2 linked regions of the Sus scrofa genome follow. The protein of the gene in region 2 purifies or fractionates together with the protein of the main gene of each other region. This does not show direct contact. Links are inferred from orthologs where the notes say so. Each region holds a gene or a part of one and is shown on either strand. Other genes may lie near its edges. The genes, in order: HOXB6 and ANKRD17.

Region 1 (4,393 bases), on a different chromosome or scaffold from region 2:
CCGGCCGCTGGGCCCAAAGGAGGAACCTGTTACGCAGAGAGGAGATGCTGAGGCCTGGGGGTCACCAGGGCCAGAGCCCCCCTCCCCCCACTCGGCCCTCAAACGTGGACTCTAGCCTGTCCCAGGATGCCCTCCACTCTCCCTCTTCCCTGCCCCCACCCGCTTCCTCATTCCTCCAGCGCCCCCTCCAGATTCCCTCCGGGTCTCCTAGGCTTACGCCTTCCGTCTAGATTCTCGGTGGGGGGATGGGAGGAGCAGTTCTAAATCCCACCTGAGCCTAGGGGGAGGGGCTGGGGAGGCACTGGCCAGGTGTGTCTCTTCCTAGCTGCATCTTTTCTTTCCATCCATCTGGCTCCCCCACCACCCCGTGATAGATTCTGGCCCTTAATCCGCAATGACGTGGATCGATCCATAGTGGGCATTAACGGCTCCTCACTTTCGTGTCCTGCTAATGGACATCAATTTGGGACTTAAGGCCGACAAATAATCCAACCTTAGACCCAGGCGCCTGCTTCTTCCTCTCTCCCCCTCAGCCTGCTCCTTCTCTTTCTTCCCCTTGCTTTCCCTCCCTCCTCTGACTGCCACCCCTTTCCTGGTGCCTCATCTTTCCCCAGCCCCCGACCCCCAGGGAAACCCAGTCCGGGACAGACTCAACTCTCCCTCGCCAGCGTCACGCCGCCCCCCTTCCCATGACGCACTCCGCTGTTAATGAACAGTCCTTGGGTCGGGGACTCGACCAGAGCTGGGGGCGCCAGGGGAAGCCCAGCCAGTGACTGCGGCCCCTGTCCGCCTCCCTGACCCCGAATCCCGGCTGCGGCCTGGCGCTCCGGGAGAATCCACTCGCTCCCCTTGGCTCGGAGTGCATCTGAGACTTTGCAAACTTTGCAACTCCCGAGGGCGGGAGGGCAGCGCGGGAGACCCGGTGCAGGCGCCCAGTGTTGCCTTGGCTCCAACCGAGATGCCCACCCGGCACCCTGTGGGAGAAGGGGGGCTCGCTAGTTCTGTCTTGAGGAGGGGGGGCCCGTGGGGGTCGCGGCGGCCGCAGCAAGTCTCACTCACTGTTGCATGAATTCATCCGCTGCATCCAGGGGTAGACCGGGGTGGAGCACTTCTGCTCCTCTGCCTCGCCGAACACGCTCTTGTCCTGCGCGCAGTCGGACTTCCGCGGCTCGGGGTGGAACGGGGGCGGCTCGTCGGCGCCTGAGAGCGCGCAGGCCGACTCCTTCTCTCGGTAGAAGGCCGGCGCCGGCCCGTAGTCGCAGGGCGCCGCTCGGCCGTAGCCGCCGCCGGCCGGCGGGTAGTAGGAGGAAGCGGCAAAGCCCTTGTCCTGGCCGGGCCCCGGCCCGTAGGGCGCGGGGTAGTGCCTCAGCGGGTCCGCATAGCCCGACGAGTAGAGCGGGAGCTGGCCCAGGAAGGACTCCTGCCCGCTGGCCAGAGTGACGGGGAAGGTGGAGTTCACGAAATAGGAACTCATTGGGAGGGGAGGCGCGCACGGCCGCTGCTGCTCCGCCGGGTTTATGATTTGTTGTGTTTTATAGTCCGAGCGCCGCGCCTATTAGTAGTATATCTGAGATTGGGTTTTAGCTGAGGGGGGATGGCGAGGTGCCAGTGAGGGCCAGAAGGAAATACAACCATCTGATCCAACACTGACCAATGGCAGAAGCAGGAATTGGCAAATAGCACCCAGGAGGAGCGCAGCCCGCGCGAGGGACCCGCGCACAAACCTATCAACCTTTTTTTCCCCCTCCTTCTTCTCCTTCTGCCTTCTCTCTCTCTCTCCCCAACAGCACAACGCGTCCTGTTCCACCTACGTAGGATCTGCGAAAGAGGCGTCTGTGCTTTTGAGGGAGGAGGCAGCACTTGGACTGAGACCACCCCATCCCCCAGTGATTAAATAAATATATCCCTCCCCTCCCCACGCGGAATAGGAAAAAGTTAATTGTGTTTTCAGAAAAGTTAACCCCTGCGTTGCTTGAGCCCCCTTCCCTCAAGGGAAAGTGGATAAATGTCTCCAAATCTTGCATCTCAATCTCCTTGGAGGAGAACTAAAGGAAAGGACAGGGCTGGTTCCTGGCGTTTTGTGTTCAAAGCAGGGAGGAAGAGTTCTCCTCTGATTAGCATCGTTATCAGAAAGAGAGAAGCGGTGAAGAAGAAACCCTCTTCTTCCCAGATTTTGAAAGCCGTTTTTTTCTGCTTCCCAGATCTACCCCGACTTTTCCAAGCCTGGGTTTATTATTCCTACTTCTCTATTACTCTTATGGGCTGGGGGCAGGCCAGAGCCCGCTGCCCAGAGGACCCAGAGGGCCGGAAAATGGGAGGAGAGTCTGAGCCCAAGCTTCTCCTTCTGGCTGTGCTAGGCTGGGAGCTTCTTGGAAGGCTATGGCTGCCGCTGCCCGAGACATCTTGCCTGATTCTAGTGTGTCCTGCTTGCTCTTGGCACAGGAAAAAAGGGACATTGGGAAGAGGGACTGGTCCTGTCTCCACTTGGGGGGTGAGAGGCACCCCCCAGCCTACCTTTGTCTGATCCCTATCCTGCCTGCCACCCTCATTTCCCGCCCACTTCCTAACCCCAAAGACATTAGAGTATCCTGGGCTACAGATTCTTAGGAATCAAAAGTGTCTCCGTCAGTCTGGGTACAGGGAAGAAATTGTTCCTCCTCCAGTTCCGGGTCCTTCAACCCTCCTGATATTGGAGGCAATCAGACCACTGGAAAGAGAGGAACCCTTGCTCCTTTTCCAGGTCTCTCCAGAAACTGGCAGGTCTTTTTAAAAAATTAATTCTTCCTCAAGACTTGGTTTTTGTTTAGTTTTATAAGGAGGGAGGGGCGTTGGGTCTCAGCAGGCAGCTTACAACTATCATTCCGTATCCCCTCTCCAGATGCTCACCACCCTTCTGTCTGTCACTCAGCATCTCTGCAATCCCTCCCACATCTCATGTTTGTATCGCCGGCTTGCTGCCTACAAGCTTTGGTGTGAGTGAGAATGTACACCTCTGACTGTCTCACTCTCTCATCGAAGGAAAATGAGCATTGGAGCCAGGCTGGAAGATGGAGCCAAGGTGTGTTTTCAACATGCTGGCGTGCACATGGAGGCCAGGAATAAAGGGTGACAACCTTCAGGCCTGGGGCCAGGAATGGGCCAGGGTGTGGGACAGAAATCTGATGATGAAGGGGCCAAGCTGACTCTCCTCTGGCTTGTTCTTTGGGCTCCTTTTTTGGTGGGCCAACTCTGCCCATGGAAGATGGCACAAGACCCTAGGAGAAGTGGTAGAGGGCTGTCGCTGGTGACCAAGGATGGGAACTTAGTTGGCTGCAAAGTGACCTACAAGGCTCCCTGAACTTAGGACAACTTCTAGGCTAAGTGGCTATTCCCAGTTGCCCTACCAACACTTCCTAGCCCAGCTCTATGGGGGTCTTGTCAAGGCTGAAGAAAATAAACTGAAGCCTCCTTATGATGGAGTCATGAGGCCTCCAATCCAGCTATGATTAAGCCCACTCCTGGGAGGAATGGGGAACATCTGGGCAGGAGGAGCAAAGTGGGCAGAGTGCCTCATGTATCTCCCTCCTTCTTGCCACTGAGGCTGAGCCTTGGGCCTCAGCCCTCCCTGCCACCCCACTGGCCACAGCGTCCTCACATGAGAACTGGAAGCCGTGGGCTTTCCTATGAAGCCTGGGCAACATTAGCTTCAGTGAGGGAGGAAGCCTTCCCCTGTGATAAAGACACAGAAAATAATCGCCTTATCCTAAGAGTCATAGCCCCAAATTAACCTCACCTCTGCAGGTTGCCTGTCGCGAGATGGAGCCGCAAAGGCAGGGCCTGGGCGCCTGGAGTCCAGCATGAAAGGAAATAGCGCCTCATCGCTCTTATCTAAGCCCAGAGGTATTTATGAGCGTTTATTCGTCTGATCCGTTTGTTTGGGAGAAAGAGCAGGCAGGCAGGGCTGGGCCAGAGGCTGCCTGGTTTCTGGAGCCAGATCTCTATGAATCTGTCTGTGGTTCCATCACCGCTGTCGGTCTGTCTCCAAAGGGGAGTACAGAAATACATAGCAGCATCGGCTGCTCTGAGTGTCTCTCCCTGCTCAACGAAGAGGTGAATATACATGTGTACCAACTCTTGAGTACACAACAGAAGGATTGTATAGAAACCCCACAGGCAGGATTTATAATTGTAATTTTCTGAGCTGTGAATCTGAAGTCCTGCGGACAAACACACATTCCAGCTCCCAGGGAAATGTCTGAGCTGTGTTCAGCTCCGGAGTAAAATTCTCCTGTACCGGTCGGTAATCTCCAGGAGGATATTTGCCAGTAGGTGTGTGGAGGCGAAGGAGATTGAGACATTATCCAGGCTCCCCCACATCCTCTCAGCTGCAAAGCTCCCCGCACCCCTAGCTCTT
Region 2 (3,814 bases):
TAATAATAAGAAAAACATTTAGAAATAATGGAAATGCTTATTTAAAGCACCATTACCCCAACTTTAGGAAAGTCCATGTATCCTGCAGGAACATGCTGATGGAATGTACCAGAAGGAGTTACAATTCCTGTACTCTCTCGCTCCATTGCTTGATGCTGTGAAAATACTCCTGGATCAGACATTGGCCTGTGAATCATAGGGTTTCCCATCCCAGGATTACACCAGTCTACTTTGTCTGAGGGAAAATGAAAAGGCAGAAAAAAATAATTGGTGATATTTAAAATCAGAAAGCAGCAAAAAATTTTATATATTTCTAATATTTTTCAATACTGAATTGTGAATTCCTTCAGAATAATAATCTACTCATATATTTATTGCAATATTTTCATGTTTGTAGATAGTGATATACTAGCCTAATAAAGTAACCTAAACACGTTGAGTTAAAAAACAAAAGAGCTAAGATAAAAGCTTAAAGAGCCCTCAAAGTAATATTAACATCTCCTTAGCATGATGAAATGAAGAAAATAATATGCTTGCACTAAACTTTTTCAGAAAGCAATGGGCAATTAACATGGCAACAACTCTTAAATAAACAGATAGTCTAAACAAAGAAATATGAATACATATTTTTCTAAGAATGTCATTAAGGTTAAATACTGCTTACAATATTTTAGTGAAATGCATAAACTTAATTCCTAGTACGCATTAGAGCATATCATACCTTGATTGCCACCAATCCCTTCAAAGGACCAGATGCCACTGTGCCCGACTGATGTGGACAAATTACTCCCAATAACAGATGGAGCTGAAGTTCCAGTTTGCCTGATACGTGCAGAACGTTCCGTCCCAATAGGGACTGGAACTTTTCTATCCTGAGAGACGTTGCTGGGCTTTTCTGACCCTAAAGGTACTGATGATGGGGCAGGAGAAGGTGCACGAACTCCAGAGGATACTGACTGTGCAGGAGAATCTAGAGAAAAATTATTTTTAAATAATATACACGTTATCTATAAAGCCTGTAATTTCATAAAACAAAATCTTAAATACCTTAAATATGTAATCCTTTAAAGAAAAATGAAATGAGGGTAATGCTTAAATAACAAATTATGTATATTAAATCTGGTTAAAGTTCTATGACTTTGCAGTCATTTTTTTAAATTTGGCTCACAATTTTACCATTTAGTTTCATGACAGCATACGAAAATGTAAATGTTGCACTACACATTAATTTAATATTTAAATAACTTTACCCTTAACAGTGAGTAAAAAATAATACCAGAACAATGAGAAGACAATGTTTAAATTCAAAACACAAACAACCAAAGGCAGGTGGGAAAGATCACTGACTATACTGGCAATTTTCAAACTATTTTCCTTGGGAATATCTGTTCCTAAGTATGTTGTTCCTAAGTATGTTATGATGAAAAAAACAAAGATGTTCAGATATCTAATAAATTTGGAAAATCTAGCTTAAGAAAAAAAAAAAAAGATTCTTTAAATCAAGACTTCGCAGAACCATAATATGCTGATAAAATACCAAAAGAAGCGTATGCCTTATAACCCAAGTGTTTTATTGCATCTTGTGCCTTGTCCACAGAACACACTTTTAAAAATGACAATTTGGGAGTTCCCCTTATGGCACAGGGGAAACGAATTTGAATAGTATCCATGAGGATGTGGGTTTGATCCCTAGCGTCACTCAGTGGGTTAAGGATCCCATCACTGCCCTGAGCTGTGAGTGGTATAGGGCACAGATATGGCTCAGATCCGATGTTGCTGTGGCTATGATGTAGGCCAGCAGCTGTATCTCCAACGTGACAAACTTCCATATGCCGCAGGAATGGCCCTAAAAAGCAAAAAAATAAACAAATAAATAAATAAGAATGACAATTTAAGGAGTTCCATTGTGGCTCAGCAGTAAAGAACCCAACTGGTATCCATGAGGATGTGGGGTCGATCCCTGGCCTTGCTCAGTGGGTTGAGGATCAGCATTGCTGCAGTATAGGTCATAGATGCAGCTTGGATCTGGCCTTGCTGTGGCTGTGGCATGGGCTGGAGGTTGCAGCTCCAATCCAATCCCTAGGCTGGGAACTTCCTTTCATATGCCACAGGGGTAGCCCAAAAAAGAGAAGAAAAAAAAAAAAAAAAAAAAAAGAAAGAAAAAAAAGACAATTTAGGCTTTACTTATAAAAACAAGGCTAGTTCTTGCCTTTTTTTTTTTTTTTCTTTTTGTGGCTGAACCCGTGGGATATGGAGATTCCCAGGCTTGGGGTCGAATTGGAGCTGTAGCTGCAGGCATACACCACGGCCACAGCAATGCAGGATCTGAGCCATGTCTGTTCTACACCACAACTCAGGGCAACAGTGGAACCTTAACCCACTGAGCGAGGCCAGGGATCAAATCTGTGTCCTCAAGGACTGTTGGGTTCGTTAACCAATAAGCCACGACGGGAACTCCAGGGTTGATTCTTAATATAGGCAATTTGGGAATATGCATCGTGATTTAATGTCTTTACACACTATAGAGAAGGAAAAATAAAAACCAAAACTGTATTTATTGAGAAAACTTTAAATACCAAGCACATTTAAATTTAGATAGAGTTTAAACTATGGAGGAGCTTGAAGCTTGAAAGTCAAAACAGTTACCTACAAAGCTATAATTTAACCACAAATGCCTGACTCTATGCCCTAGTGATAGTTATTTTATGATATATATTTAATTTATTTTTTCTTTTTGGCCTTTTTAAGGCCACACCCCACAACATATGGAAGTTCCCAGGCTAGGGGTCCAATTGGAACTGCAGCTGCCAGCCTACACCACAGCCACAGCAACGCTGGATCCTTCACGCACTAAGCGGGGACAGAGATGGGACCCATGTCCTCATGGATACTAGTCGGGTTCATTATTGCTGAGCCACAATGGGAACTCCTAATGATATATTTTCATTTAGCTCTCTTTACATTTAAGTTTTCTATATACATGTGTGTGTGTATAAACACGTTTGTGTCTGTATCTATCCAATGGGACTCAGGTAGCTAATAAATTTATAAAATCAATCTATCTGCCCATACACACAAACATAGTGCTTCTACTTCCCAAGGTACTTTTTAGGGAATTTGGAAGACACAGAAAAATTCAGTAATATTATTGGCCTGAAGTGTTTTTTTTCTTTTAAAAAAGACTTCTCATATGTGTTTTAGAATAATACAGAACTGGAAAGTACTGTGGAGATCAATCCCATCCTACTAGTGCTTACAGAGGTCTGTTTTAGTTAAACTGATAGTATCACTACTCAGTGAGATGCAGTAACTATTAACTAAAAGGAATGAATGCTAAAGTACCCTATAAATTATTATATGGATATTGATTTTATTGGAGAATAAAAAAAATGAGATGTGAGGGCTTGTCATCTGTAAAAGTAAACCAAGAAAACTATTACCTTCTAATGAAAAATTAAAACATAATTCCTGTGGTCATGGATCCATTAGCATTCCTTCATAGTATTTACTTTTAACAAGTCATAAGAAAATGGAAAAGCCACATCAGTCTTTAAAGTAATTATAAATATTTAAAAATACAACTTAAAATTACGCTGGTATAAAATGGAATTCTAGAATAATGGAAACAGTAGTGGCACAGGTTTTGAGTCTTCCCAAATTCTCTCATAAAAACAATGCCACTAAGTTAGCAAAGCTCAAAATCTAGGGAAAACATCTATCACAAAACTAAGGTAATCTAAATGAATCCAAAGATATAAGTGAATGGGGACAAATCACCAAGAGCTATAAAACTCGTATGGTTATCATGCAGTAT

Evidence for each region.
Region 1: the proteins of ANKRD17 (region 2) and HOXB6 purify together in Homo sapiens (co-immunoprecipitation; 3 studies listed by BioGRID and IntAct, with this or other methods). This does not show direct contact. The link is inferred for Sus scrofa from reciprocal best matches to the Homo sapiens genes ANKRD17 and HOXB6.

What each region holds. Positions count from the first base shown.
Region 1 is NC_010454.4:24,850,614-24,855,006, forward strand, and holds the start of HOXB6 (homeobox protein Hox-B6), read right to left. Parts: upstream 2,882-4,393; 5' UTR 1,475-2,881; coding exon 1,060-1,474; intron 27-1,059; coding exon 1-26. UniProt on the Homo sapiens protein: Sequence-specific transcription factor which is part of a developmental regulatory system that provides cells with specific positional identities on the anterior-posterior axis.
Region 2 is NC_010450.4:69,363,823-69,367,636, forward strand, and holds part of ANKRD17 (ankyrin repeat domain-containing protein 17), read right to left. Parts: intron 971-3,814; coding exon 722-970; intron 236-721; coding exon 57-235; intron 1-56.